Linked DNA regions of Schizosaccharomyces pombe. The gene in region 1 interacts genetically with each later gene. Each region holds a gene or a part of one and is shown in the gene's direction. Other genes may lie near its edges. The genes, in order: ura4, fur4, atg8 and atg1.

Region 1 (7,030 bases):
TACTTCATTATTATTGCACTGATGTATTTGTATATAATAACTCTTAGGAAACCCAAATTCATCCTACCTTCTAGTTCGGTAAATCGTATAAACATAGACACTTAGCTTACCATTAATGTCTTTTGTGATGTAATAGTCCTTGTTAAAACTTATAGCGATGCAGTACGTACGATATTTTGCATCTTTACTGTACCTTAAATAATTGCTGAATAGACACGTGGAATGTGTTTGTATACGTACTTATCAATTACCAGTCAGATGGTAGAAGCGGTAAAATCGTGATATTTGAGTATTAGCTATAAAATAAATTTTTCACAACGTTTCAATATATTTTAATACTCTTTTTAAAATTTTTTAGAGAGATTTTGACGAGCAATTGATGCGTGAGACGCGTTTGTCAATTTTTCCACCTTTCTCGCTCTATTCATAGCACTGGCTAATTGTGTCGCAATACCACGGAAAATTGATTTGACGAACACAAGTGTGGTCTTTGTGTTAACATTTCTAATTCGTAAATGAATTCGAGGACTCAAAAATTTGCGGTTCGTTATACCACGTCGGGGTTTGCGCCATTTATCTGTTCATAGATACCGCAAAGCAAATCGTGAGCAATAAATTTTGAAAAGGTATCTACAGTTCCGAGAGGTGCAGGAAGTGATGAATCGAATTTGATGAAAATTTCTCACCTATTTTAGAGGGGAAACTACAGTGACTTTCTTGAAAGCAATTAAACAACCTTGAAAATGAATCAAACTTTTTTCTTAACGTTACTGCTGATATTGATGTGAAAATTAAACAAGAAAAACATCATCACTTCGTTAAAACCTTAAAAATTCAAAATTTCAAAGGAATAATTAACACCCGGGCATGCATACTACCCGATAACGTAATCTTCTCTATTGCCATTTTCTTTTTCTTTTTAATAAAAATGGCTGTCTAGTAAACACTTTGTCTCAGCGTTTCTTGCCTTTTTACAACAGTCAAATACCGAATATCGCACGAACCATTGAAAACGCAGCTGTGCGCGGTCTCAGTGCCGGTTGGGATTTTCCACCACTCGCAGCCCACAAAGCTCTTCATACAAAGATGAAGAACAGTAAAGAAAAAAAATCTTCCATCCCGACAAATTTGGTGATTTGACGTCACCAAAAGATTCGTTTTTGTAGAAAGGTATATATATTAACGACATGTGCCCATTTGTCTTGATAATACTATCTTTAAACTTGAACGACATTTTTTGAATACGCCGTTACTCCTAAAGATTTTATACCACTTGCTTTAACTTTTACACAAATTTATTACTACTATTAAAAATGGTTGCTGTCGGATCTACTTTGCCTAAAGTTACTCTTTGGGAAAACAAGCCCGAAGAGGTTGTTGAATTCCCTTCTCAAGGCAAATTCATCATTGTCGGTGTTCCCGGCGCTTTCACTCCTCCTTGTTCTTCTCAAGTTCCTGGCTATATTGCAAATGAGAAGCAATTTGCTGCCAAGGGCATCAGCGGAATCTATGTCGTTGCCGTAAATGACGTTTTCGTCACCAAGGCTTGGAAGAAGTCTTTCGACGGTGGTGAGCAAAGTGGTGTTCACTTTGTCGCCGACTGGAACGGAGAGTTTACCAAGGCCTTTGATGCTGGCTTCGACGCTAGCGGTCTTTTGGGCCCTCTTCGCTCCAAGCGTTATGCCGCTGTTGTCGAGAATGGCAAGGTTGTCAAGGTTTTCATTGAGAACGAGGTCACCGATGTTGATATTTCCTCCGCTGACAAGGTCCTTAGCTCTCTTTAAATCTGATGAACTGTTGTACTAATTGTTTTGATGGGAATGTTTTTTTCCTTTAATGAACGAAACTTAGAATCAAAAAGATAAGCTCCTTATTTAAGGGCGTTTGAAATGATGGAGATAAAGCACTCCATATTTGAGTTTTTTTTGTCATTGTGATGATATATGTTTAGATTTATGAAATTTTATACACAATTATCTTAACAACTCATTGTTTGAGTACTAGTACAATTCTTTATAAGAAAGTAGATATGCTTAAAAAATTAATGTCAAGTAAAACGTTGAATCGATTACAATAAGTTTTCGTAACACGATTGAAAATCGGTAGAAGTTGAAATGGATATTCTAAGTGGTGGTATCAAAATAATGACTAGAAAGATGTAAGCACACCTTCAATGTATCATAATCAATGTCAGATGAATTTGGGTAATGAAAAACGTTGGCCACAGTTGGGGGCGTCTTCCTCTAGATGCTCGTCTTCTACAACCGTTCTTTACCTCAACCTTTAAATTTTCAAAATCTCCTTTTTAATAACAGTTTTCATTTTTGGGTTCTTTTTACTCATTTGTATTTCATCTTCGATGAAAATAGCTAATGTCTTAACTTTATCGTTTGCTGCAATTATTGCTGCTTCTTCCCTGGCGGTTGTAGTTAGTCCTATCACAGACAATTCCAGGGAGACAGCTTCATCCTCCATTTCTCAAAGTCCTCCTAGTCAATGGTCAAAAAAACAGTTAATTGAGTATTGTAAAAAAAATTCACTTAAAACTAGCGGATCTCATGAAGAATTGGTTATCCGTGTGCAAAATCATCTTCGTACCGCCTCTAAAAAAGTTGATGCCAGACCGTAATGACAAAACAGCTTGTATAGATTTTAATATGTTTTCGATGCTTACATAATGAGTGAGTGTCATTATTGAGGAATGCCATGTCAGATTTGACACAACTCAGAACTTATTAACTTTTTATGATTGGAACTTTTGTTTTGCCCAAGGAATTTTTAATGGAAGAAGTTGTTTTATAAATGATATTGAATTTATATCCACTCTTTTTAGCGCATTTGCATCTCTACTTTAGGTTCTTCTTTGACTAGATTCTAGGATGCGTATTGGATATACTGGTCTTTGAATCATTGTCGAAAAAAAAATTCATGGTTGTACCCATGAGCAAACTGCTTTTGTGGTTATCCATGTGCTTCTTTTGTTCAGCATCTATCTTCTTAATCGCATGGAAGATTTGATTTAAACCAAAAGAAATATTGTTAAACTTTGACAGAAGCTTTAAATTTTGATTCCATACATTAAATGGATAAAACTCCTGAAGCTTAGCTACAAATCCCACTGGCTATATGTATGCATTTGTGTTAAAAAAGTTTGTATAGATTATTTAATCTACTCAGCATTCTTTCTCTAAATAGGAATTTGTTACTTAATGGAGAAAAAAATGTTTCGATTTACCTAGTGTATTTGTTTGTATACTCACGTTTAATTTCAAACATCCATTCTATCTTGTGTAATTTTTGGCATGGTGAAAAAGATAATCAGCCTTATAATCTTTACAAAAGTAAGAAATTCTGTAAATAAGCCTTAATGCCCTTGCTTTAAATTAAAATGGTTCTTTTTCATGATAATGTTTGCACTTTGTGAATATATTTTAGATAGTTCTGTGAGGTATAATTAAGATGTTTTAGAGACTTATACAATTTTGTCTTTATAAATTCTTAATTGATTTTACCATCCCAGTTTAACTATGCTTCGTCGGCATCTCTGCACATGTCGTGTTTTCTTACCGTATTGTCCTACCAAGAACCTCTTTTTTGCTTGGATCGAAATTAAAGGTTTAAAAGCAAAGTTATGGATGCTAGAGTATTTCAAAGCTATTCAGCTAGAGCTGAGGGGATGAAAAATCCCATTGCCAAGGAATTGTTGGCTTTGATGGAAGAAAAGCAAAGCAACTTGTCAGTCGCGGTCGATTTGACGAAGAAATCCGAAATCTTAGAATTGGTAGATAAAATTGGACCCTATGTCTGTGTTATCAAGACACATATTGACGTTGTCGAGGATTTCGACCAGGATATGGTAGAAAAACTGGTGGCCTTAGGTAAAAAGCATCGTTTTCTTATCTTTGAGGATCGCAAATTCGCAGACATTGGAAATACCGTCAAGCTACAATATGCATCTGGTGTGTACAAAATTGCTTCTTGGGCTCATATCACAAATTGCCATACAGTGCCAGGCGAGGGTATTATACAAGGCCTCAAAGAAGTTGGTTTACCTTTGGGACGTGGTCTCTTGCTTTTGGCTGAAATGTCTTCCAAAGGCTCTTTGGCTACTGGTTCCTACACAGAGAAAACCTTAGAATGGTTTGAGAAGCATACCGATTTTTGCTTTGGCTTTATAGCTGGTCGTCGATTTCCTAACCTTCAAAGCGACTACATAACTATGTCCCCTGGTATCGGCTTGGATGTTAAAGGAGACGGGCTGGGACAGCAATATCGTACTCCTGAAGAAGTGATTGTAAACTGCGGTAGCGATATCATCATTGTTGGTCGTGGAGTCTATGGAGCTGGTCGTAATCCTGTTGTCGAAGCCAAGAGATATAGAGAAGCTGGTTGGAAGGCATATCAGCAAAGACTTTCTCAGCATTAAAAAAAGACTAATGTAAAATTTTTTTGGTTGGTTATTGAAAAAGTCGATGCCTTGTTTGCGTTTGTTTTCCTAGGCGTTTTATGTCAGAAGGCATTTAGAATTAGTATACAAGTACTCTTTGGTAAAATTTTATGTAGCGACTAAAATATTAACTATTATAGATAAACACCTTGGGAATAAAAAGTAATTTGCTATAGTAATTTATTAAACATGCTCCTACAACATTACCACAATCTTTTCTCTTGGATTGACATTGAATAAGAAAAGAGTGAATTTTTTTAGACTTGTAATGATAACTATGTACAAAGCCAATGAAAGATGTATGTAGATGAATGTAAAATACCATGTAGACAAACAAGATAAAACTTGGTTATAAACATTGGTGTTGGAACAGAATAAATTAGATGTCAAAAAGTTTCGTCAATATCACAAGCTTTATTATTCAAAACTAGTATACTTTTTCTCGGAGTATAATACACAATATCGGTGCAAATAGGTTTTAAAATTGCTCCAATCACATGTTCTTAAGAAAAAAACGTCAAAAGAAATCTAAGTATTCCCAAAATAATTCCTCCTGACATGAGAAGAATAAAAAACACTAAGATGCATTGTCAGTATGAAACACAAGCCAAAGTTGCTAACAATAGGATCAATTCTTACTTACTGGCAATGTTACGAGGAATCTTGGTAGGAGGATGTTTGGCAACATAACGTTCTTTTGAATTTGTTTTTACACGACGAGTAATGTTCTTCTGAAACTGTGTGTTTGCACGACGCTGAGAGGGAGTTTGAACCGTCTAAAAGACATAGTTAGGATCCATGATGCACAGATTTCTAAAGATAAAACTACTTACAGGCATGTTGGTTTATTAAAAAAGAAAAACAGGAATGATAAGAGGGAAAGAATACGTGTACAGAGCAAGTGTGGAAAGATATGCTGAAGACGTTTGTATGAACAATGCCAAGCTGTAAAGCTAGACTTTCAAAGTACACACTAATACGTTATACTATATACCAAACAAAAGGGTACGAACTTACAGTGTTTACCAATGTCAGCAATACTACACTACGCTATGATACACTACGTTGTGTATCACTATATGTCACATGTTCTAATTATATATCGTACCATGTATGATACGATATGGAGATTAATCTTAATGATAATCTATTAAGATCTATATTATCTGAATACTATAAATAGAGCTACTGCTGAACCTCGTTCCTCAGTTCAGTTATGAGCTATATTAGTGATAGGTAACATTATAACCCAGTTAATACAATACCTATACTCAGTTGCTACTTATACAACCCGTGTATTGTAATATAATAGATCACAAGGAAAACTCACCGCAGTTCTACGTATCCTTAAATCAGATACCAAACTGCGTAGCTTACAACCAAAAAACCAAACAGTTTCGATAAAAAAAATAGTGATAAGATGCATTTCCATTATAATCCTCTATTTAGTAAACATGTGAATTAATATTTATAACTGTCGAGAAGAGAAATATTCAGTGATCGATAAGCAAAAATGAATATTAGTTATAAAAGGTAATAGGAAAAGGATGGTAAAATATACTGTGCTGACTAATATTGGACACTATCTTAGTTTGCAGAGTAATGGTGATTGGGGTAATTTGATATCTGGCAACTTCTTATTATAACATATTCGTCTTTTGTAAGTGAAATTCCTAATGACAGCGGCAAGATTATGGTGATTTTATTTGTAAAAATGTATCAGTATGAACAGACAAGCCATCTTAACATACTTAAGGGAAACCTGAAACTAACTGGAATTATCTATCGCTGGTATAGAGAAGGGCAAAATAAAAAACCGAGATTGTAAAAATTTTTTTAGATAAATGAAAATTTCCACTGTTAGCCCGTATTTCTCAAAATAAATCTCATATTGGAATAACAAAATTTAAGTACACTGGAGTAAATTTTTTTTGAAGAGTTATATGGTACAAAAATTATGAAGGAATAAATCGGCTTTGGTGGTTTAGTGGTATAATGAATCGTTGCCATCGATTCGACCCGGGTTCGATTCCCGGCCAAAGCATTTAAGTTAATGTTTTTGCTACCGTTTTTGATTGAAGTTTTAAGACGAGAACAAAGTTTTTACATTCAAAGCTTGAGCAATTAATTTTTTTTTAGATTTAATCCATTCATGATCAGATGGATGAGATATGCTCAGCAAATGTGAATAGTCAGTGAGTCACATAAGGTAGTGTAGTGTTTGCTAACGCGAATTATTTCTCGTATATGGGGTTGGCTTGTTTACATTGCTCAATGCTGACGCTCTGTGTACATCAACTTAATTGACAATTACCATTGCTAAACTGTACCTTGTCGTACTACCACGTTTTGACGTTATAAAGCAGAAAATATTATTAACTATGTCTGAAGAAGACAATAGGTTAAATGAACTATTTGCGAATGACTTGGGCGTTCAACCTCCCTGCGAACGGTCGTTAAAGGAGGGAAGGAGATTTTTGAACGACTTTGAAATTGCGGCAAAAAAAAAGTTGCTTGAGCTAGAAAGGAAAGCATTGGAAGACAAAGAGAAAAATTTGAATTTTGTTGTTGAATCTGAAAGAA
Region 2 (8,469 bases), on another chromosome or scaffold:
TTTTCTTGGCTGCCTTGGATCAAACCGTCATTACTACGGCTATTCCCACTATTGTAGCAAATCTCGACGGCGGTTCATCGTATTCGTGGATTGGTACTGCTTATTCATTGGCAGAAACATCTATCCTTCCATTTTGTGGTATTATGAGTGAAGTAGTCGGTAGGAAAATTGTCCTCTATACTTCCATTGTTCTTTTCCTCTTCGGTAGTGCCATGTGTGGTGCTGCCCAAAATATGCTTTGGCTTGTACTATGCCGTGCTGTGCAGGGCATCGGCGGTGGGGGTATTATGTCTTTAGTTACAATCGTTATAGCTGACATTACTCCTTTACAGACCAGACCTTATTACACAGGTTGTATGGGAGTCACTTGGGGGGTTGCTTCTGTTATGGGTCCTTTAATTGGAGGTGCAATTTCACAGAATACTACATGGCGCTGGATTTTCTTCATTAATCTACCTACTGGTGGTCTTTCGCTTGCACTCTTGATTTTTTTCCTCAATCTTGTACCCAAGCCTACAGTTTCGTTTTGCGTGTTTTTACGTGATTTTGACTTTGTGGGCATTGTAACCATTACGACTGGTGTTGTGTTATTTTTACTTGGCTTGAACATCGGATCTACAACAGGACATTGGGCCCATGCCAATGTCTTGTGCTATTTAATTTTTGGTATCCTTTGCATTGCCGGTTTTGTCGTCAATGAACTTTATACCACCCGCACTAGAATTATTGCTCCCTCGGCGTTTCAAACACTCTCTTTATCTTCTGTGATGGTAACCTCCTTCTTACATTATTATATCATGTCAACTGTGACTTATTACATTCCAATCTACTTTCAAAGCATCAAGGGTGATGGTCCGTTAATGTCTGGTGTTCATACTTTATCTCTGGCAGTTGTATCTTCAGTTGTTTCTGCCATTAGTGGTATGGGAATAGGAAAATTGAAAAATTATCGATATCCAATGATTGGAGGATGGATAGTTTTATTAGCTGGTACCGGTAGTATGATCGCAATATACTATGACACACCTATACCACGTACCATGGGATTCTTGGCTTTGACAGCTGTTGGAATTGGCAACCTGTTCCAACCCAATCTTATTGCTATTCAGGCTTCTGTACCTCCTGCTTTGATGGCGACTTCTTGTTCCGCATTTATGCTGCTAAGGAATATGGGTGCATCTGTGGGAATATCGATAGGAGCGGTAATTTATGATCAGCAACTTACGACACTTCTAAAAGGAACGGAATATTCTACAGGGCTTTCATACTCTCAAATTGCTTCAATTCCCAGCGTAAGCGAGAGAAACTTTGTATTCAATGTCTATGCTAATGCCATTCGTACAATCTGGATTGTAAATTGTCCAGTTGCAGGAGTAGGAATGCTTCTGTCGTTTTTTACAAAGCAAGAGAAATTATCTCAAAGCGTCACGGAGTACAAAGAAAAGGATAAGGGATTTAAAGATGCTCCTTGAAACTTATTTTTTAAAAAGCTTTTGTTGAAGAATCCCAAAACAACTGTTTATTAAATTTATTTTTCTTTACATTGCAGAATAAGGTCATTGTCTATTTACTTGATTTTTTTTATCTACGTTTGACTGGTAAAAACATTGTGTTTTCTATTACTAGTGTTTAATGTTTGTTTCGGTTTTTTTTTTTTTAACCAAGGATCGAACTTGATTGTTATAATTTTTTTCTGATATTGTTGTATGCTAATGATTTTTTCTTCGATAAGTTTACAAAAATAATTAATCTGCTTTTTGTTTTTACACTACATTTCTTCATTTCGCATTAGAGGCAGGGAGCTAAAGTGTATTGCATGTTAAAACAAAATCTTTCGCCATAAGGAGTTAAAAGTGTTAAAAATTCATGATTACTGCCATGATCTGTCGCAAACAATGTTTACTAGTTTTTCTCCCTCTCTCTTTCTTTTTTATTTTGGTTTACGGTGTAGGGATTACTCTTTACTTAATTTTAATATTTTTTAATAAAATCATTTATCTCTTCCTAGCTCAATTGCTTTGCTTGCAAAAGGTGCTATAGTTGCATCTTTTCTAAACTGCGCAACTAAGGATTTCTTATGTTTACTGATTGATCAGTTGTTCACTTGTTTTCATACTGCGCAGACCGTAGCAGCATTCCCGAACAAGGTAACGATGGATAAAAAAATCATCGCACTTTCTGAGACTATACCTTTTTGGTGGAACAAGCCGTTTGAAGCGCGGCATTCTAATATCATTTCTTTTTAGAAAAATTTAAAACCAAAACACTACTTGAGAATCTTCGTCGAAAACTCTTTTTACTTACGTGAAAAACTAACTGATAAGATTAAGCGATGTGTTCAACTGCTGGCCTTATTTTTATCTTGACAACTTTAAACTCAAAAAAATAGATGCGACAACAAAACCACGAAATCAACAGAAAACTACAAAAAGGCTTGCCGCGGTGAGCTTCCTATCAAAAAAAATGAATGAAAACAAGTATAGTTAATAGCTTGTTATATTGAAAGACGAAATGGACGACCCGTTATCGACCTATTCCAAGCAAACTAGTTTAACTATAAAACCTAAGCAAAGTTCATCAATTATCAAAATCAATTTTTGATACGACTAATTAGTTTCTTGTAGGAGTCGACATTACTTTCGACACCATTGTTTGCATCTATCCGTTTCTTTTGGATCCGGAAATTAATTGATCACTAGCTTTTACCAAAGTCCACACTGTCTTTTTCTTGAGTTTTTCTACATTTCATTTTTTTCTATTTTGTTTGGCATTACACGTTTGTTTTATCGTCGATATTCATCTTTTCCATTCGTTTGTTAACTTCAATTCGCACTGTTTTCCTCCTTCATTTCTTTGATTGTTCGTTCAAAAAGCATTACCCTGCATTCCATTCATACTTTTTTTTGACTCATATTGATTATACGAGTTTACTCTATCATCCTATATTTTGGCTTTTGAGTTAACATACCGTTTTGCACATAGATCAGCCTACGCCCGATTTCTCGTACTTGCAGACTTAGCGAAAATATCTTATTTCGTTGCTTTATCTATACCTCAAGTAAAGCTTTTGAGAATCAGGTCAGCTGCACAGCCAAGTTTTTATCAATTATCTCTATTGTGCATCCGTTCATATACTTATCATTAATTTATATTAAGGACGGCGGCGTAATCTAATCTTCGTCATTTGATAATACCCATATTCCTTACAATCTACGAATTCAGCCTCTTGGTTGGCTTTCTATCACATTAAGTTAGTTAGCGTTTTGGATTTAAACTTACACGCGAAAGATATCTCTATCTCCTCTGATTGCGCTGCGAAATAAAAAATTTTCTCTACATATAAACAAAGGTTTCTTCCTAAGAAAATACATATTTGCAAACTTTATAGGCTTAACATTGAGGGAATTGAAAGGCGACATAAAATAAAACATTTAACGATCTGTTTTGTAATAGCACACAGCTTTTCACTCATCTTTTTTCCAAAGATCGCTTGCTCGCCACTTTTATTGTGGAGAAATTTCTGTTACCTCTGGTCATTGTTACCTCTTAGATTGCTCTGAAAATATTTCAACATTCCACTTTTTCTTCTACTCAAGCCACAGTGCAAGGCCTTTGTCAAACCTTTGTAGGATTTTTTAATACTACATAACTGCTATTATTTGTAAAGGTGAAATATTTTACGGCACTTGTTGGTTTCCTCCATTTTTTTTGTCGGCTCTTTTTTTTTGTTTACGAACGTTTTTTCCTTCATTAACGAATTCACTCAGCTCGTTTAATATTTCAATCTGTTATTTAAAGTCACTTAATTAATTTCGCTCATCTTTTCTTTCCCTACAAAAGTCTTGAAAAAAGTTTTCTCATTTTTGTCGTTTGTTTTTTCTTATCGTCTGAAACATTAATCTTGTTAAATCATGGAGTCTGTGGATAATAATTCTTTTTTTTCACGAATTAGAAATAGCAATGCCTATAGAAAGGTCAAGGATTTTGTTATATTGGATCATAGGCCTGGTATGACTATGGCCGAGAGAATGTTGACTAACAAGGATCTATATCCTGTTCCTCCTTCCAAGCGCCTTTGGGGGCCTTGGAACTTCATTTCTTTTTGGTTAGCTGATGCTGTCAACATCAACACTTGGATGATTTCTGCCACCGCTATCGAGCTTGGCTTGAACTGGTGGGAGGCATGGATTTGCGTTTGGGTTGGCTATCTTATTTGCGGTATTTTAGTTGCAACTACTGGTCGCCCTGGTGCAGTATATCACATTTCATTCCCTGTTCTTTCTCGTTCTTCCTTTGGTACATGGGGTTCATTATGGCCTATTCTTAATCGTAGTGTCCTGGCATGCGTCTGGTACGGTGTGCAGGCTTGGATTGGTGGTGAATGTGTTGTTTTGATGATTCGCTCAATTTGGCCTTCTTTCTCCCATATCCCTAACACCATGGCAAAAAGTGGTACGGAGACATACCAATGGGTTGGCTTTTTTATCTTTTGGCTCCTTTCAAATATTGCCATTTGGTTTCCAGTACATCAAATTCGTCACCTCTTCACTTTTAAGGCCATTGTCGCTCCTCCTGCAGCCATTGCTTTCCTAATTTGGGCGCTCGTTAAAGCCCACGGCGCCGGTCCTGTTATTCATGAACCTACAAAATTAGGTCAGTATGAACATGCTTGGGTGGTAATTAATGGAATTGTAACCTGTATTGATGGCTTTGCGACTCTTATTGTCAATAATCCTGATTTTGCACGCTTTGCGACCACCCCTGGCGCCGTACACTGGCCTCAAATCATCACCGTTCCCCTTGCCTTTGGTGTAACTTCGCTAATCGGTGTTCTTGTTAGTTCTGCATCCAAAGCCATTTATGGCACGACTCTTTGGGATCCTACTCAATTGCTTGCCTCTTTCCTCGATCACTCTAACGCCCACGGTGTTCGTGCCGGTGTCTTTTTCATCGCATTTGGTTTGTGTATCGCTCAACTCGGTGTCAACATTGCTGCTAATTCGGTTTCTGCGGGTAACGATTTGTCAGCTCTCTTGCCTACTGTAATTAATGTTCGTCGTGGTGGTTACATCGCCTCTATTATTGCCCTCTGCATGTGCCCATGGAATTTATTAAGCTCAAACAATAACTTCACAACTTATTTATCCTCATACTCCGTCTTTTTGTCTTCATTTGCTGGCGTTATCATTGCCGACTACTATTTCGTGCGCAAAGGCTTGATTAGAGTTGCTCCTTTATACTCTTCCTCTTCTAGCAGCCCCTATTACTTTTGGAAGGGTATCAACTTCCGGGCATTTGCTTCTTACATTTGTGGTATGCTTATCAATATTGTTGGTATGGCTGGTTCAACTGGACAAAAAGTCCCAAAAGTTGCTAATACCATGTTTAATTTAAATTACTTTTTGGGTATTACCGTCGCCTGTTTATCTCATATAATCATTTGCAAAATCTTCCCTGTTACCGAATGCGGTGAGAAAATGCTTTCTGAGGTTCCCGAAGAAGCTGATGACTATTTGCTTACCCTTGCCTCAGAAGACTCCATCGACAAGGACAGTACATCTGAAATTTATATTGATGGACTTCCCACTGAGAAGGAGGTTGAGAAGGACGACGTTCTCAGTATTACGAGCAAAAAATTATCGGGTTGTTTTCCTTAGGTAAATTACTTTTTGTGGTTTGATCTCGTCTTAATAGTAATTTTTCAAGGTTTATTGAAGGTTCTTTATTAAATTATTTTTTGTTTTTAGTTTGTCATAAAAATTTTTTAGATCATCTTTGTTTATAATGTATTGCTAGTTAATGAATGAAGTGTATTAATAGGTTATGCATATTTGTTGCGTTTAGACAGTAAGCGTATTCATATTACACTAAATAAAGCTGTTTATCTACTAAAGGGATGACTTCAAAAGTAAGTAAGCGACATATCTTTATTATGGTAATAGTTACAGAAGTAACATAGGATGTTCTATAAAAATCAAACATCAAATGGAAATAACACGCCTTATTGAACACAGAATGTTGGAAAACAGAGATTAAAGATTACTGAAATAACTCGTGAAAAAATGGATGTAAAATTATGTTTATTAATTAAAGGTTTGTCGAATGTCACGGTATGGACTTGAGTATAATAAATTAAATAAATCGCGAGGATATGCAGTGTACAGGGCTTTGATGAAATAGATGTTACAATTGATTATATCTAAGGTTAATATATCGAAATGAACGAGAACGAATAAAAATTAGGGTAATTAAAATACAATGAATGGATCAGAAAGAGATATACACTGATGAGATGAAAGATCAACGATTCTAGCAAGTGCCAAAGTAGCGGTCACCGAAATCACCGCATCCAGGAACAACGTATTTATTAGCATTCAATTCGGGATCAATAGACGCTGTAACCATTCTAAGCTTGGGAAACTTAGCAAAGACATTAGTAATCCCCTCATTGCATGCAATGAGATTAACAAACACAATGTTTTCTTCTGGGATCCCCTTGTTGATCAGAGTTTGAATGGCGAGAATTACAGAATTTCCCGTAGCCAATAAGGGATCTAGCAACAAAACCAAACGATCCTGTGCATCCTTGGGTAACTTGCAGAACATCAATTTAGCTTCAAACGTAGTTTCATCTCTTTGCACCAATAACTTGCCGACGGGAACTGAGTAGTTGCAAGCAGCGGCCAATCCATATTCCATACTCTCTCCAGCTCTTAAAATGCTGACGCCGCATATATCTCTAGCTGGTTGGACGCCAGTATAGGTGCCGCCGGAACTAGTCTTTATTAAGCATTTCTTATAAGGTAAAGCACTCAATGCTTCTTGCATTAGCATGTTGATAATGAGATTGGCTGTGCGCACAAACTCTGAATGGCCGGTTTGCTGATCGCGAAGAATAGTCATCAATGATAACAAGTACATGGTCTGACGGAGAACCACGACATTCTCGGGCTGTTCAAGAGGAATGGACATATTGGATGGAAATTTTAATTTAACAAAACGATTCAATTCAAAAAAAAACTGAAATTCGATAAGAAAAGGTTGATGTAACAAAAGGAATTTTTTACAAAATTCGTAAGATAGAGGTAAGTTCGTAAACAGTCAAATGTGGAAACTTTTTTCTCTATTCAGGGCCAAGAATTCTTCCTTTATATCTTTTAGATCGCCAGTTTTTAGTTTTTTTCAGACACTTTACAGCCGATTTTCAACCGCGGAATTTCCGACCGTCTTTGATTAAGCTATTGCGGAACAACCGCGCTATCGCACCGAGGCACAAACGCGGGCTCTATGGGGCAAAGATTAGCCACGTTCCACAGTAGCGACTCCAAGGTTGTACGGTTTAAGAGCTTGTAACGTAGTGCTTGAAACAGGTCGCAGTGGTCCTTTAAACCAGGTGCTTTCAGCAGTGCCTTCATTAACGGTTTTTTGATATTCCTTCAGGTAATTAGCAAACTTTGTAGCCAAATGATATTGGTCGACACTGATAACAAGCAACCATTTCCATATTTTAGTTACAAGGTCATTCAAAACTTTAGGCTGGACGATAGAAGTGTCTACCTCCTTTGTTTTTGCAGCGTAAATCAATCGCAGTAAACTTGCAGATGCAAAACCCGCGTGAAACAAGACATGATCGGAGCAACGAGACATATCGTAAGCTGACAATTCAAAAATTGCATCAATTGTTTTTAGCGCATAACTTTGCACCATGCTAACATACCGCGGTATGTTCGCAAAGTCATTACCATCCGTAGCTGTTTGGATGCTGGCCTCGTAAACGACATTGTAGGAATAAAAATAGGCAATCCGAGAATATTGCGGCTCGGGTTGTTCCCAAAGATGACACCATTCCTTGCGCCATTCTTCAAGCTGAAATATTGCATAATCCAAATCGAGGGTAGGGGATCGCAGCATTCTGTATAGCATGGAGTATACAGAGAGCATTCCCAAAATGTTTCCGTCAAATTCATTAGCCTTAGTATTTGTTAATATATTACGACAATCATCAAAAGTATTTTCATCCAACATAGCATGACGACGATATCCCATGCACATAACCAAATGACCATGGCAGAGGTGATTCCACGTTCTTGCGGGAACGATATCGAGATAAGTTAGTGTAGCGCTAGATCCCGCAAAACCGTTGAACCATCCCTTGGTGCTCGAAAGCGTTCTGTGTTGCAAAGCAAACCCGCTGAGGAGCCAGAGATCTTGTTTTTGGGAAAGCCGAAGCGGTCGATAAAGGGTTAGCATAGATACAGCCTCGAAAAACTGTAGGGAAGGTGAAGTAGTGAGCAATTCCTCTGAGATAAGGCGGTCCACGATGTTTAGTACGTCCGTGTAAATCCTAGCTTTCAGAGAGGGATTGTGTCTTAAAGCAATGAGACAAGCGGTTGCAAGCATCAAATGTGATTTTGTGTATAGTAGTTCCATGTACTGGGAAGCACTGTAGTCGACAGAGAGCCAGCGCTT
Region 3 (7,499 bases), on another chromosome or scaffold:
GCTATTACAACAAATGCAGGGCCTGATCACCTATAATTTTGTTAATAAATTAGCCAAACAATTAGCCTAAATACCAATTTCTCTGAATTCCCGTAACTATCATTAGAAATTGTCTCATGAAACGACTGTCGAAGTCGAAGTGGATTTTCACCCATACGTTGACAAACTAACTCTCTTAAGCGACGTGATATTTTTGAATTTGTATTATTGTCAAGTTCTGAGCGGCTAGAAAAACTAGAGCCATGAAGTGCTGGGAGCGTTCTACGGTTTCCAGAAGACACATTGGCTATTTCAATAGGGCGACTCATATAAGCAATTCACCTTCTAAGAAAGATCTATATTTCGCTCTACAGATAAACAATTGGGACTAACCCAAAACAAAAAGACAAATCTGTAAAAGTATGGTACATATCTAGGCCATACTACACTATACATATATTGGTATAGTTATTTCTTAAATATTACGATATTCAACAGGTTCTCATGGCGTAGTCATTCTAACATTCTTTCGTCAAAAGATCATCACAGTTGAACCAATTTTCTAAGATCTTTGAAGGTGAATACTGTTAAAACAGATAAGTTCTTTACTCTTCTTGTATAATATGTATGTCATTAAATGCAGAAGTAAATATTATGACATTTACAAAGAAAATTACCATGTCGACTTCGCAGTACCTTATTTAAGATTTTTGAACGTTCCTACATTGATGATACCTTTCATTTTAAATTGTCAAATTACCTAGTATGTACGACTATTCGTAGGAAAGTTGATTTAAGAAGATTATGATTTAAACATTGAATAACATCTAGTATGCTAAATAGGCCATCCTAGGTAATAATGGTGTAGTAAGAGAAAGAAAATAGAAAGCAAAAATTTGGTTTATAGGTTGGGTCGAGTATTCCTTTGAACCGGAGGTGGAACAGAAGTTGGCGAGCTTACACCGGACGAATTACTAGAAGTTCGGGCAGCAAGTCTTCTTGGCTTTGGAGGTGCAGGTGGAGGTGGTTTCTTAACAGGCGACGCTGTAGAAGCAGCAGTCGCCGCGGGAACAGATCCAGATGCATATGAACTGTTTTGAGAAACCCTTCGGGGAGGAGGAACCGGCAAGGGTGCATTTGCAGAAGCTGTAGGGAGAGGAGAAGAGGCAGTATAATTAGCGTTTGACTGATAAGTTTGGGAATAAGAACCAGAAGAGCTGTAGGAGGGAGGTGGGGGCATCTGAGACATTACATTAGGACGAACAGGAGGTGGTGGGACTTGTTCTTGATTTAAGACGGACGGACGACTCCCTGGTCGACTAGGAAGTGAAGGAGTCCCTCTTGAAGGAAGAGCGGGTTCCTTGGGGGGCTGTGAAGGTTGGGAATAAGAAGGCTGCGAATAAGAGGGTTTCGAATAATCTTGATTTCCTACAGCCGGGCTAGCCGTTCTAGGTGTACTTCCAGTACTACTACCACCGGCACGCAACTGTGAAGCATGTTTTGGAGGAGGAGGCAATTTTGTAACATCGACATATTTTATTGATAAACGAGGCCCGGTTCCATGAACGGATCTAATATCATACATAGCATCTTCGCCATGTTCACCTATAAATCCCATTTTGTTAGTAATGTCTCAAAAAGCAAAGGAAATATGCTTACCTGGTAATTTCGATGTAATCTTATTCTGGAAGCGGTTCGCAGAATCCGACATCGAATGCAGTGATTTTTTTGTTGAGTCAAACATTACGATTAGTTTGAAATTGATTTCTCACAATTGACGCAAAAACCGATTTTACCCAAATGTTTGCGGTGGACAGCTTCCGACTCTCGAAATTCCTTAAGTCCGCTTTTCTAAGAGCCCATAGGGTAAACAACTACACAACGTGCTAGTAATATCAGCCAGCTGATAGGAAAAAATAATGTCTTTGAGTTCTTTTTGATAAAACATAACAAAATAGTAAGCAGCTAATAAGCTTCGCGTTTGTTGTCAATACTTACTATCAGAATTGCAGCATTGCTATTACGCTTGCTAAATTGGATAATATACGTAGAGTTCTATATTCATTCAATTGAAAACTTGTTAAAATCGCATTCTTTATGCGTATATTAGTTATACAACTATGGCTGTCAGAAAATGCAAACAAACTACCACAAGAAGTGATCCTTCCAATGATAAACGTTTATGTTAACAGAATGTAAAATCATTGCTTTTCAAGTAAATCTTATAAACACTAGATGTTGATGACTTTCATAAATAGAAAGTAGGGATTACAATTCATCTGTTCCGTCATCTTCAACATTTTCTTGAGACAACTGCCCAGATTTGATAATTTTTACATCTTCAAGAGGCTTATCACGGTTGTCAGTCTCAGCTTTGGAAATTTTCTTGACAATATCGTAACCAGAAAGGACTGATAAAATTAGTATTAGCAAACAAAAAAAAGGAAAAAGAAAACAAATAGTCACTTTTATAAAACATATACAACTACAATATGAATTCTTACCTTCACCAAAAACAACATGGTGTCCATCTAACCAAGGTGTTTTAACTGTAGTAATGAAAAACTGAGATCCATTGGAATCGGGTCCAGCGTTAGCCATGCTAAGCAAACCGGGACGTTGGTGAGAAAGCTTAAAGTTTTCATCAGGAAAACGGCTGCCATAAATTGATTTTCCACCAGTACCATCACCCTTCGTAATATCACCACCTTGAATCATGAAATTGGGAATAACGCGATGGAAAATAGATCCTTCATATCCAAATCCCTTTTCTCCGGTGGCTAATGCGCGGAAATTTTCGGCTGTTTTGGGAACAGTTTTACCAAACAATCCAATGGTAACTCTTCCAAGGAACTCATCACCTTGTTGCAAGTCGAAATACACTGTGTCTGTAACTTTGGGGCCACGGTTGGCAGAGATAAGCCCAAAGAAAAGAGTAAAAAGTAAAGAGAAATAGAACAACTTCATTTTTGTTTTCACAAACTAAAAGCTTCGTTGTGTGGTAAAGGATAAATAAATAGTTATGGTGGGGTTTAATAGCAAGACTCGCTAGATTTTGGTTGCTGTAGCAACTTTTAGCACAATGTTAAGCAAATAATTCAAGAAGCGCTTATTTGTTTACATCAAACACTACTATTTTTCTAATGGTTTGATTATTTAATGAAAGATAGAAATAGTAATTATTTGCAAAATTCTATTTCCTAACCTTTTTTGGAAGGTATTTACGTGTTAAGCGTGCTATTATTTATTTACACAACGTCTTTATTTCCATTCTTGCTTTTCTTCCTAAAAGAGTTGTGACTTTTGTTGTACCAAGGATTGAGTATATACCAATTATGGCTATCATACTATAAAGAAGTAGTAAAAATTCCTTTTGATTGTGTACTGCTTAAGATTCGTAAAGTATTTATTTATTACGAAATAAGGTAACTTATCATAGTATCATAAGATTGCTTCATATCTCTGTATACGTTACCCAAGGGTACGCTTATTTATCCAAGACCGTATACCACATAACTCACGCACCGTTTACAAAGAACACCGAATTTTGAAGCAATTGAAGAGAGGAGTTACTACTTCAAGCAAGAAGTTTGAGAGTTCTCATGCGTTCTCAATTCAAGGACGACTTTTCTTTTGGTATGTGTCAAAAACTTATAGAAGTTGTTTTTTGGACAGCATTGTAGAATACCTGGAACTAGTAGGCTAATTAATAATCAGAGAAACGAAAAACAGAGTCTCAAAGAATCCGGGAAAAATATCCCGATCGAATACCTGTAAGTAGAGTCTGGTGGTCAAAGAGAACAGGTTTCAGAGCAAAATAGTGGTGAATTGAACAACACCCATTGTTTTTGTCATCAAAAGTGAATCCATTGTTACAAGTCTGACCTTTTTCTTTCAAAAATACAAATTACGTTTTAAACTTAACTGCTAACTTAACAGGTTATTTGCGAGAAAGTTGATAAATCTGATATTGCTGCAATAGATAAAAAGAAATATCTCGTTCCATCTGACCTTACAGTTGGTCAATTTGTATATGTTATTCGCAAACGGATAAAACTTTCTCCTGAGAAGGCCATCTTTATTTTCATTGATGAAATCTTGCCCCCGACAGCGGCCTTGATGTCAACGATATACGAAGAGCATAAAAGTGAGGACGGCTTTTTGTATATCACGTATTCAGGAGAAAATACATTTGGAACAGTGTTTCCTTTTTAGATCAACAATTTGCCTGTTTTAAGATGGCCCCGCCTTCTTTTAATTGTGATCAGCAAAATTGTTTGTGGACAATGGTTGAATGATTCTTTATGTTTTTTTTACTCTGCATTTCTAGCTTTTTAGCTTTCAAGTTTCTTTGCTTTTGCATTATGATTATTTTACGCGCGTCTTATACATATCATTCTCAGGTTAGCCACCACGATTTTAAGGATGTTTCAGATTTGTCTTACAATAGATGTGATGAACGCTTATGACTAGTTTGCTTTGACAACAAAGTTATTTTACCTTGTTAATTAATAAAAACCATCAATTAAAAAAATTGATTTTGATTTTCTAATAATATTAAAATGTTGATAAATAATAAGTAGATATATATCATCAGCTGATTCTATCCTTTTTTACATTAACTGGTTGTCATAATAGCGAATACTATTCACATGCCCCAAAAAATTGGTCAATCGTAAACTTTCATAATTCAAGCAACAAGTGTTATAACTATATTTCAAAATAAAGCCCACTCCTGCATTTCAAAAATTTCAGTAGCATTTCATCACTGAGAATGCTCCATCTTTATCGATGGGCGGCACCTGTTGATAATAAAACTAATTTCTTCTTTTTTTTGTTTTTTGAGTTTTTGGAAGGTGCAGATAATTGAGCAACTTTGTCCCAGTCAACTTTCCAACCATCAAGATCGTCTTGATCATCGGTGTCATTTTGAATATTGGCAAGAGCTCTTGTTCCCCAAACAGTCTTTGCAGTAGATAAGGTAGACTCATCTGTATTAACCTCATCGGTAGATTCAAATTGATGATGACTTCCCAATGTGGGGAATGCTTCAGCAGGGTCCTCATGCACTACGGTTTTTGGCACAGGTCTCTGCATATTTAACTCGGAGTATATCTGTTCCTCTGTATCACGTTCAGCCCGTTGTCGATACCTTTCTTCTCTCATTTCTTGAGCTTTACGTTGCTTGCGTCGTTTACTGATTTCTGATTTGAAGGTTAACAAGACTTCTTTGGGAATAATCTTAGACCAATCACACTCAATAAAGGCAACTTCACAGCCTTCAGGTAAATGAGCCATATATTTGAACCGCTGACGAAGCTCAGAATTCACTAAGTGACCGGATGATATTCTTTCTACCCTAGGAACAAGCTCATCAGGAAAATTTTCGTACGATCCGAAAGCAGATTTTAAAATACGAATATCTAAAGGAGAGAGATAGATGTGGGAGTGAGCGAAAGGTTGATAGAATAGATAGGCATCTGCGATTTCAGATCCGCTAACATCATTCAAATCGTCAACTTCGGAAAGCTGTTTGAGGCTATTACTTTGAAGGCAAAGATTATCAATGTCGGTTTGCAAAGATTTGATGTTCTGTTCATTAACAGATTCAGATAAAGATGAGATTCGATCTAACAAAATTTGTGTGATTCGTTCATAGTATGTATCTGCAGACCCATATAATGAAATATCTTCAGCAGCTATTTGCTGAAGCTGCTCAATTTCTAATAAATGTTGTTGAACCATATAATCGTGAGATCCAATAATTATACGAGCGTACGCAGCCCCGCTCATAGTAAAATTAGGAATTTCATCTGAATGAAATGATCCATCTAAAGCAAAAGATCTACAAGATCTAGGAAACGCAAGTATAGATCCATTATTCCTCTGGTATAAACGAAGGCAGACGGACTTTCCTTCCTCAAGTTTCTGAAATTCCTTGTCTTCCACCCAGCGGATAGGATGAACATCTCGTAAACGTATGCTATCCCAACAAATAGGACAGCTACGATGACCACATTTTACTATCTTGGTGCCAGAAGTTTCAGCGGCTTTAACCTCCGCCGCCGTAGGGGTCTCGACGAATCGAAGCAAACAAGAAAAGCAATAAACATGCCCACATCTGGACATCCTTGCAGCGACAGGCTTTTCTTCAAGGCAAAACGGGCAAGCTGCTAGTTGAAAATCGGAAGAGCAAAGTACTTGCCAAACATCCTCCCACTTTACCGGAGAATCTGGATCTAGTTTCTGTGATTGATAATCACCAATAGGAGAGACAACAAACCTATAGTTTGCATTAACATATCTTGATTTATCCATGGGATGATGACCAGATCCTTGACCATAAGTATTATATCCACGGGACCTACGCGGAGGAGCAGAAAAGGCGTTCGAATTAGTCCTAGGTGTAAACTGAAAATTAAGTAGATGATTTAGATTAATCTGACCACGCTTATTAGTTCTCGCAGATAAAATATCAAAAAGATGTTCATCATAGACAGTTTGCGGATCATCAAGTGATTCGCCAATAGAATCAGCAATTGCACTTGATTGCTTTTCAAGACGCTTTTTATTCTTAGTTTTTCTTTCGCTAGAAGCTAATTGCTGATTCTTCCTGGGCATGCCTTGAGTCTTCTTCTCGGAATTTCGATGAGGCTTTCTATCGGCGCTATGTTCTTTAGTTTTGGCAGATGATCGGGGAATATTGGAAGAAGAAGGAATGAAGTTGGGAGATTTTGCATTTAACTTGCTCGAAGAATTACTGTTCGACGGCATCTCTCCCAATGCAGATTTTTCTCCGTTAAGCATTAAAACTAGTTATGAATCTTTAATACCAGTAAAATCAATCAAAGCATTTAAGCCTTTGACAGATTTTTAAACAGCAGACGGCTAAGGAGCTTAAATTCGTTTGAATAATCAATAACTATTAGACAAACGTCTTTGTGGCCTCCAAATCGTCTACCAAAACTGCTAAGGTAGAGAAAGTAAGACAACGCATATCGACGGCGAAATAAATTGTATAAAACACGTTAGTACAGTATTGTAAATACTGAATTTTAAGAAGTTACTTCGCACCTCATAATCGCTTTTAAAAATATTGAGTACGCTATAATCATCGGTACGCAACGTTACATTTTACTGTTTTCATTCAGTTTTTAAACAAATTTCGATCTTTGTTATTAAATAAGCATGTAATCAATTTGTAATGGCTATATGTTTAGAAATTATAAACTTAATATCTGTAAACAAAAACATTTTGCAAATAGCAGTTTGGAAAATCTATATATACCAATTTCTATACTATATTTTTACAAACATTTAATATTGTTTTTAAATCCTTATTTTGATTTCAGGAACAATGAATTTATTTAAAATTCAATTTTTTGCTTGACTAATTTACTTCAAGTGTTTTAATTTACGCATTTACTAGATTCTCTTTAAACTTAAGGAGATATCATGTCAGAACTTGATAGATTTCAAGTATATACTATTTTACCTGTAGTCTATCAAACACTTCCGAA
Region 4 (9,232 bases), 730 kb from region 1:
TAAATTGCTTTATAAATCCCAATTGTTTTACAAATTCATTTAATTCTTTTTACTCTTATTTCAACAAGTTTATGAAATTCATTCAAACAAACTATGATCATTCTTTCAAATCAACGTTTTACTACTAGGCTGACAGTTTCAATATTTCAATGTTCTCAACTTATTGTAGTACTTAATGAGAGAGAGAAATTAGTTTATCTTCAAGATATAAACAAATCCTCAATTTTCTTATTGAAATGAATCTTGATCGTAATATTCGATGTAACAGTTGTCTCCATATAGTACTTTACTGGTAATATCAACACCTCCTACAAACGCTTTCCTCTAAACCGATTAAAGTTGAAATTACTGGAGGTTGTTAATTCTTAAACATTTAAAAAACGCTTTCCTAATAAAAATACTTGAGAATCTGATGTTTTGGTTATAAGAGTACTTAGCAATCTAACGATTTTTTGCAATTGTTGCTATTTAGCAAATCCTCTGTTAATGAAAAACATCATTTCTGTTGGCTAACTGTTTGTTGATTTTTAATGTATATAATGTCGAAAAAATGTTATGATACGTCGGAAAAGATTGATCGTGAGCAAGAATGTGTTGAAGTGAATTATCAACATCGGAATTTTGAAAGTATTTTGGAAATATTTTCAGTTTTATTCATTCCTTTCTTATGCAACTCTGGCAAAAAGTTCCTCCAAATTTCAAATGCGTCCTTTTTTTTACCTGCATGCTTTTATTTATTGGGTTCGTCTAGCATAATCCAGCTATATGAGTACGATTTTACGAACAATTAAATTTTTAAACTTAAGTCAACTAACTCATTATTTAGGCCGTTATTGTGGTTATCATCGTTTCCCTTTTGTATCCTCTATGTCGGCTTTGGAGAAAACTCTGTCTTGTATCATGAGATGTACACGGTATGTCTTTACAACGCTCTTTTGTCCTTAACACAAAGATGGAAATGGCTCTCTATTGTTTTAGATGGACTGGGTAATTCGAGTGTTAATTTAAAACTTCACGAAACGGTCATCCTTGCCTTTCTTGAAATTACACAAAACAGTTTTACCTTCATTGAAGGCATTTTAATTTGTACCGGACTTACAGGTCTTTGTTTTGCTACATTTTCGTATGAAGTATCTCCTGTAGTTTCAGTGCTATCGGGAGTTTTACTCATTTCCTTACCTACACTCATTTTGTTAAACCTTTGCATATTAAAGCTTGCTGCTAAATTACATTTATCGGCACTCTTTACTACTTGTTTAATTTATTTCTTTAGCGCTTTGCTCGTATTTTTAGTGTCCAGGTCATGGGTTGCTGGGCAACTTGGACAAGCACCTGAAGTATGGTTGTTCAACCAAATTTTTTCGCATAGGAATTCCCTAACGAGGATTAAAATAATTATTTGGTGGATAATTTGCCTTGGTTGTTTTATTTTTATTCTTCTGCGAAGCAACCGTAATAATCCACTTGGCAAATACTTTACCACTGAAGATGAAGTGCTGAACTTTCGTAGAAAGACATATCATGCTTTGGTTGTCTTTTTATTTCTTCCGGTTTGTTGCTTAGATCCTCATTTTCTCCACCTGTCTTTTTCGGGAGTTTTATTCATATTTCTGTTTGTTGAAGGTATACGCATACTTCGTCTTAAGCCATTTGGAAAAATGATCCATGAATTTTTATGGGAGTATACCGATAACAGGGATCACAAGGGCCCCTTGATTATTTCCCATATATATCTTTTAATTGGTTGTGCAATTCCTATTTGGCTTTCGAATGCTTTAAAAGGTCCTGTTGCGTCGGTTGAATTACTGGTTGGTGTTTTATGTTTAGGGTGTGGAGATTCTATGGCTAGCATAATTGGGAAAAGGTTCGGAAAACATAGGATCTCAAAAACGAATAAAAGTATTGAGGGGGTATTTGCCTTTTCAATCTCAGTGTTTCTCGTTTTACACTTGACGCAAGCTTTTCATGTGTGTCCTTCAGTAACGTTTTGGAAAACGCTGTTTATGTCCTTATGTACGGCCATTTTGGAAGGTGTCTCAACGGAGAATGACAATCTCATACTTCCAATGTACATGTGGGTATTGTATCAAGCCTTGGATTAAGAATGTTTAATTCCATAAAATATTTTGCAACATCAAAGTAAAATATCTCATAACTCTGATGCTTTGCAAATGACAAACAAAAGAAAAATACATATATGTGCTTATATATGAAAAAATAAACCAAAGATGTAATTCTTTGCATATTCTCTTTGTTACTAATTCGACGTAAATAGATTTCCTTTAATAAAATAAAAAGAAAAATTTTACGTATTGCCAGGCCTATCATTAAATCATAATCACCTTAACAACAGCATCCACTGAGAATACTGTTTACAAAAAACCAACGTGAGCAAAAAAAAGATGGCAGATGTGACTATGAAACGAATAAAACTAAAACGGACTATAAATTTCGGTAAAAATGATATTACAAAATATATGTATATATAGTTTTGCTATTCAATCAGTCATATATTTAAAGGTAATTGACTATTACAGTTCGCATATTTAGGAAGATCAAAATATTCATTTATTGAGAAATGTATAACAACGAGTATCTGAGCGGATATCGTGGCACAATTTTAAGTAGAATAGGTTGCTTCGAAACGAACAGTATATTATTTTTGCTTGCTTAAAATTAATTAAACAGTGTACGACTCGGAGCATAAGCATTTTAATTCCATTTATTAATTTTCCAAATTTCCTAGAAAATAATAGATTAAAAAAAAATTCATTAATTTATTTATTGCTACAAAATCAAAATTTTGATTAACTTATTATTTTTACTTTATTTTTTTTTATTTTTTGTTTCAAACTTCATTGCAGTATTATTGGCAACAAGCACTTATATTCAGTTTCAAAACTTTTTTTATTTTATATTCTCGAATTAATTTATTTATTTTATTATCACGCAAATACAAAATTAAACTATTCATGGTGAGAAGGTGAATTTTTTATAACGTTGCTTGTTTTCAGTAGCGTTTTCGCTAATGTTGACTTTAAAGTCTGTTTTAGAAATTTGGATTCCACAACCAATCTCGTATATATCAATAAAGAGAAAAGCAACATATTATGATTGGAAATTTTCTTTTAATTTTCTGCAAGAGAGTTCTTACCTTCCATTATGGTCTTCAAGTCCTCAGGGCATGTTTGAATACTAGTCATTGCCCAATTCCCTGTTTTGTAGTATTATATACATGCGTTTGAGCCAAAACTCACACTGCATAAAAAAAATGATATTCTTTTCTTCAACCATAAATATTATTATTTAACACAACAAATGTCTACGGCCATACCTAGGCGAAAACACCAGTTCCCGTCCGATCACTGCAGTTAAGCGTCTGAGGGCCTCGTTAGTACTATGGTTGGAGACAACATGGGAATCCGGGGTGCTGTAGGCTCCTTCTTTTCTTTTTTTTTTGTCTTTTAAATCCAGTTTACTTTTTTTTTTTATATTATTTCTATATGGCATGAAACTGGTACAGTGGTACAAGTTGTACATCTGCCGCCGGTTTTTTATCCAAATTTACCCTCTATTTACACTTGCATTTTCATCTGCCTCGATCACTCTATCCATGACAATCGCCTTTTCCAACTAATTTGCCTTTTCGCGGGTATCTACGCTTCGTCTGGAGTATTATCTACTTCCGTTCTTATCCTCTAATTCCACACACACTTGCTTTCCGTACTCAAATCGGTAACTGACATGGCAAAAATTAACACATTTATTTCGTCTTAACCCACTTTCGGCATTTTTCAGCTGCACAAAAAGGGAACAATTTCAAAGAATTTAGACACTACCAGCAGGTATATGTGTGTAAAATATTATAATTCATTGAGTTAATACAATTTCCTCTATAAACTCGCATTCTATTCATAGTGCTTACTCCCATAAAACTTGTTATCCCGAAACCATATCTCCTGTTACCTTTTACAGCCGCACCACGATCGCAATTTATTTTAAGGTATTAAAGCCCAGTGCGGAAAGTGCCTTTTACGCAGCTATATTATCAATGGCGACCCGCTATCCTTGCCAACTCCCATGCTATCAAAGTGAGTATAAAGGCAGCTAAAACCCTTACACCTGTCTTATCGTGAACCAGAAGCTGTATGAACTTACAGACGAGTACAAATCAAACAATTGGTCCCTATGTCATTCGATCGGAAATTGGACGTGGATCTTTCGCAATTGTGTATAAAGGAAAGCACACGGTAAGTAAAAGAAGCAACTGCTTGTCTGTTTCAATGGAATTTGGTGGCTAATCGTGTTGCAGGAAACGAATCGAGTGATCTCTATTAAAAGCGTATTGACAAAGAAGCTTACTAAGAAACTTTTGGAGAATTTAGAAAGTGAAATTTCAATCCTTAAAGAGATCCGTCATGTGCATGTTGTGGAACTGATAGACTGTATTAAGGCTGGGCGGTTCATTCACCTGGTCATGGAGTATTGCTCCCTAGGAGATTTGAGTTATTTTATTCGAAAGCGAGAAAAGTTTAACAGTATTCCCTCCTTAGCCTGGATCAACATCGATCATCCGCCAGTTTACAAGGCTGGATTGAATGAGACGTTGGTTCGGCATTTTACCCAACAACTTGCTTCTGCACTCCAATTTTTACGATCGCGTTCTTTAATTCATCGAGATGTCAAACCCCAAAATCTTCTTTTACAACCACCACCCACCGCTGCCTATCTGGAAGAGCATCCCCAGTTTGTGGGAAGTCCCAAGCTACCAATGCTTAAATTAGCAGACTTTGGTTTTGCACGTTACCTTCAAACGTCTAGTATGGCGGAAACTCTATGTGGCTCTCCGTTGTATATGGCGCCCGAAATACTTCGTTACGAGAAATATGATGCTAAAGCCGATTTGTGGTCAGTAGGTGCTGTGTTATACGAAATGGCTGTTGGAAAGCCTCCCTTCAAGGCCCCAAATCATGTCGAACTTCTTAGGAGGATTCAAAAAGCTAAAGATGTCATCAAGTTTCCTGAAGAAGCTTTCATTCACCCGGACATTAAAACCCTTATCTGTGCTTTGCTGAAGCAAAATCCGGCTGATCGTATCGACTACGACGGTTTCTTTTCCAGTATTGTTGTCACTACTCCATTAGATGACGCATCTACTTTGACCGGTAGCGATATTCAAGATGCGGTTAAGGAAATAAACATTCCATCTTCTAGTCCTGCCTACATAACCGATTTTTTCCCAAAAAGTAATCCTGGCGCTCCTGCTCCTCCAGGCGGTTTGTTGCGTCAAGCTTTCCAAGCTCAGGGGTCTAGTATTCAGCCCTCTGAAATTACCGGTCGAAGGGTGCCTCATCGCTATGCACAAGATGGAAACACTTTACCATACACCCCCGTGTTTCCTCCTGAAAGTGCTCCTGCTGCTAGCATTTTCCCTCCTCGATTAACCTCTAAGCAACCTATACCCATGGCATCTCCTGCTAAGTTGACAAGTGATACTTCGAACAAAAGTAGCGCCTATGTCGTAGTGGACCATCATCCCATAATCTCTTCTACCCAACTTTCCAATGAAAGCCTAACCCACGAGCAATCAATCAATGGTAACTCGCCTTCACCAAACGAAGGTGTTTTTCAAGGTAGTTTCTCTCCTGAAAGCGCTCCTGTAAATAATCATGCGTTTCCCCATACTAGCCGGATGCAAATCCCTTACATGAAACCCAATGCTTTCCCTTCTAATCCTACCTACATTGCTTCAACCCCAGTCACTCAACTACGTCGTGCGTTTGAGCAAGCTACAGCACATGTACCTCAATCTGGAGGTGGTGCGCGAAATAAAAGCGCTCTAGAACGAGCACTAAATGTTGCAAACGCTAGGCTTAATGAAGTTGTAGTGGATGGTATGACAGATAATGGAAACACATCCCTTCCTACAAAAGAAAGCAATTTGGATAACAATGTCAACATTATCCAACCTTCCTTACCTGACACCGGTAAAAGATTGCTTGATGTTTTAGAAAGTATAGCGATGAAATCAAACTCTGTCTACCATCTGGCTGAAGTGAAGCTTGCTCAAATTATTCCTTCTTTGTCTGATGAAATGAAGCCTGGAGATACACTCTTGGATAGACCTTTGACTCCTTTTTCATTGGTTATGTTAGCCAAGGAATCGTATGTACTTTATGAGAGAGACATTGAGCTGTTACAAGTGGCGTTTGACGGTGTTGCTGCTTTTTGGGCCAACTCTGAAGAACGTGCATCTCCTGATTGCCAACAAGCCATTGAATGGTTTCGTCAAAGGTATTCAGAAAGTCTTGAGAAATCCCAATTTTTACGTGAAATTATTATTTCTCAAAGTGCCGCACATTCTTTGCCAACTACCAAACCTGTGTCAGCTTCTCAATTAATTTATCATAGAGCATTGGACCTATCCAGAAATGCAGCCACTAGTGAACTGTCAGGAAATGATGCACAGGCTTGTTTACAAAATTACCGGCTTGCAGCACATTTGTTGGAGTCACTTCTTGAGAGTAATTTTTCGACTCCAGACGGTGCTAACGATTCCAATAATTCAGTAACCATAAGAAATTTGATTGCTTTGATAACGAAAAGGCAAGAACTTTTACAATCGAAACAAATCCAGGCTAATGTAGCCAACAAAGTAACAGAAAGTGTTGCGAAAATAACACTTGCCCCCAATCTTGCTTGAACACCGACGATTTCGCCCTTTTATTGAACAAATTCGCATATTGTATGAGCTGAGCTCTGAGTCTAAATTTTGTTATGAATTCGTTGTTATGACCATATTATTTATATAACTTTTTAATATAGACGTTTTTAATTTTGCTTTTTTTATACATAGGGTTGATAGTCCCGTATATTTAACTCTTATTTATTGAGGTTTATCTCTATTCAAATTTCGTGCATATTATTTTTTTTCTCTTAAATTTTTCAAACAAGTAAAACAGCTATTTAACGTATCAAGGCAAGAATCTAGTACTTTTTTGATTTCCAAAACAAAGATTTGTTTTATACGGCCTAGAGCTGATGACTGCATGAGAGAAACAATTAAACGAGTGATAATGTTTTTGTTCAAACGACCCATAATTTACAAATGTGTGAAAGGAAATTATTGTAACAATACCTCAAGAAATGGCCTTGAAGTCCAAAAGTCATCGTCTATCAGACTTACGTGAAGGATAGATAAAACCATTTTCTTCTTTTGTTTTACGGAGAACTTTTTGTCTTGTTGATGCCATTCTTGATCAATAGGCTAAATTAAATAAGTAAGCAAAAATTAATTTAAACAAAGTTTGTCGAGCATACCTCACGAATCCAAATCGAGCCCTTTTTGTATATCTCTGGTTCAAAATTATAGTTGATGCCGAATTTTGAGAACAAAATTTCATGTTTTTCTGCGCTGACGGTACCCTGTAAAGTAATTCACCCAAAAGGTGAAAGTGGTTAGTTTTTATTGAAAGGAAGATAAATCGCTAGGGTTTACATAAAAAAAAATGAGCTACTTACCTTTAGGTACTCCTCGGCTTGAGTGTTTGTGAAACCTCCTTTGAGTATTAACATCCAGAAGGTAGTATTGTAAAGGTTATTAATATGACAGTCTACTTGTCGCCAATGCAAATAATCTCTTAATACTTTCATATTAGGATAAAGTACAGCTCGTCCATCAAATGAAGGGAGTGAAAGTAGTGGAATGTCAAAATGTTTAGGCCAATTGAAGACAAAAGCAGATGTAAATAAAGAGCAGACATGGCTAACAAGCTTACTCTCGCGCCGTTCATACAATTCGGTACTCTTAGACCAAACAAAACTTCAAGCAGAAAGGTTAGTTTATTCGATTCATGAGCTTATTATTCTGTTTTCATGCATACCTATACTCATCACTATCACCATAAGCTAAAACGATGTCGGTGAACTCAGACATGACTACGCGAGCTGCTGCATTCATTAAATTTAGACATCTCAAATCATTTGGCTTCTCAAAATCATGTTTCTTTGTGAACTTATGGAATCCTTTGCCATCAATTCGTATTACGATATAAGTCTCAGGTAGTAAACGATCCAATCTTTCGTATTGCTTCACATATTCAAACCTTGACTTGGCCATCCTTTCATAACAAATTATATGTATAATATAATGTAGCCCCGACCTTTTTCCATGTAATTTCCTCAAAAAGCCCACCGAAAATGCTTCGTTTGAAAATGTGAATTTCCTAACCAACCTTGAATCATAATTAGCGATAGATTATCGTTCGTTATAATTTTTAGCATATTGGATGGCAAAAAATGCCATGTCTCGTAATTTATTTTTTTTATTAAGATAATGTTATATAACTTGAAATATGCTAACAGTGGATGAAAAGAAGCGATTATATATTTAATAAAAAAAAAAATTACAGGCTAGCTTATTAAGAAAGGTGATATATCTTTACCAGCGCATTGCTAGTCTTGTTTACAACCACAATCGGCTTGCTACTGACTAAGGATGATCTTTTCCGCATTTCAATAGAAATCTTAGAGAACACGTATAGTATTCATTTATTCAGATTTGATCTGCTGCTTAATCATAACAGTTAAACTTATATTCATATTTACTATATAGTGAATAGTAAAGTATTAGTTAACTTGGATTGCTAGTGAGGTTAAGGCATATCTCCTTAGGGAACATTATATCCATTCAAAAATTATAAATTGCTAGTATGAAAATAAAGCCTTTAAGGAATCAAAAAATTTATGGAAACATTATTTTAGTACTTTTCATTTGCTCAATTAGTACCGCATTTCCAATTTAAACTTGAGTACTAATAAAGAAGCGTATACAACCATCTCCATCTGCAACAATTACATGCAAGCAGCAATGTGAAAGAGTACTTTTCTACAACTAAAGTACATCCTTGTTAAATGAATAAAAGGTCTTCATTGCAATCTCAAGGAGAGTCGTTATAAAAATAAAAAATTCGACACCAGCAGGATTTGAACCTGCGCGCGGAGACCGCAACAGATTTCTAGTCTGTCCCTTTAACCACTCAGGCATAGTGTCCTGGACGATATTACTTTAAAATATGCTCAATGTATTCAGTAAACAGTGTTTGATAAACAGAATTAAATCTTCTTCGATATACATTGAATGTACTTGCAAATATGCTTGGAATAATGTTGCTAAAACGAACGTATTACTAACAAGAAAGCCACAATTGATTATTTTCACCATAAGATGGTA

What was found.
Region 2: mutations in ura4 (region 1) and fur4 impair growth when combined (synthetic growth defect), as found in Schizosaccharomyces pombe (one study listed by BioGRID).
Region 3: mutations in ura4 (region 1) and atg8 impair growth when combined (synthetic growth defect), as found in Schizosaccharomyces pombe (one study listed by BioGRID).
Region 4: mutations in ura4 (region 1) and atg1 impair growth when combined (synthetic growth defect), as found in Schizosaccharomyces pombe (one study listed by BioGRID).

Annotation. Positions count from the first base shown.
Region 1 is NC_003421.2:113,177-120,206, reverse strand, and holds ura4 (orotidine 5'-phosphate decarboxylase Ura4), read left to right. Parts: upstream 1-3,581; 5' UTR 3,582-3,631; coding exon 3,632-4,426; 3' UTR 4,427-4,618; downstream 4,619-7,030. Other genes in the region: thioredoxin-related chaperone Pmp20, read left to right, coding at 1,314-1,784; protein new25, read left to right, coding at 2,360-2,629; protein tam14, read right to left, coding at 4,951-5,024, 5,091-5,223, 5,281-5,286; protein mug135, read left to right, coding at 6,829-7,030.
Region 2 is NC_003424.3:1,839,124-1,847,592, reverse strand, and holds fur4 (plasma membrane uracil transmembrane transporter), read left to right. Parts: upstream 1-3,589; 5' UTR 3,590-3,911; coding exon 3,912-5,657; 3' UTR 5,658-5,685; downstream 5,686-8,469. Other genes in the region: SPOM_SPAC1399.02 (transporter), read left to right, coding at 1-1,472; uck2 (uracil phosphoribosyltransferase), read right to left, coding at 6,310-6,972; protein toe1, read right to left, coding at 7,300-8,469.
Region 3 is NC_003423.3:3,681,348-3,688,846, reverse strand, and holds atg8 (autophagy-associated protein Atg8), read left to right. Parts: upstream 1-3,476; 5' UTR 3,477-3,581; coding exon 3,582-3,615; exon of another isoform or gene 3,616-3,696; coding exon 3,697-3,752; exon of another isoform or gene 3,753-3,918; coding exon 3,919-4,194; 3' UTR 4,195-4,566; downstream 4,567-7,499. Other genes in the region: mug30 (ubiquitin-protein ligase E3), read right to left, coding at 1-30, 75-308; SPOM_SPBP8B7.26 (uncharacterized protein), read right to left, coding at 881-1,584, 1,639-1,723; cyclophilin family peptidyl-prolyl cis-trans isomerase Cyp4, read right to left, coding at 2,248-2,390, 2,484-2,946; rnf10 (ubiquitin-protein ligase E3), read right to left, coding at 4,765-6,786. UniProt on the Schizosaccharomyces pombe protein: Ubiquitin-like modifier involved in autophagosome formation. With atg4, mediates the delivery of the autophagosomes to the vacuole via the microtubule cytoskeleton.
Region 4 is NC_003421.2:847,521-856,752, reverse strand, and holds atg1 (autophagy serine/threonine protein kinase Atg1), read left to right. Parts: upstream 1-4,070; 5' UTR 4,071-4,148; coding exon 4,149-4,250; intron 4,251-4,312; coding exon 4,313-6,703; 3' UTR 6,704-6,920; downstream 6,921-9,232. Other genes in the region: dolichol kinase Sec59, read left to right, coding at 531-769, 827-2,102; thg1 (tRNA guanylyltransferase), read right to left, coding at 7,124-7,267, 7,321-7,425, 7,522-7,822, 7,884-8,119. UniProt on the Schizosaccharomyces pombe protein: Serine/threonine protein kinase involved in the cytoplasm to vacuole transport (Cvt) and found to be essential in autophagy, where it is required for the formation of autophagosomes.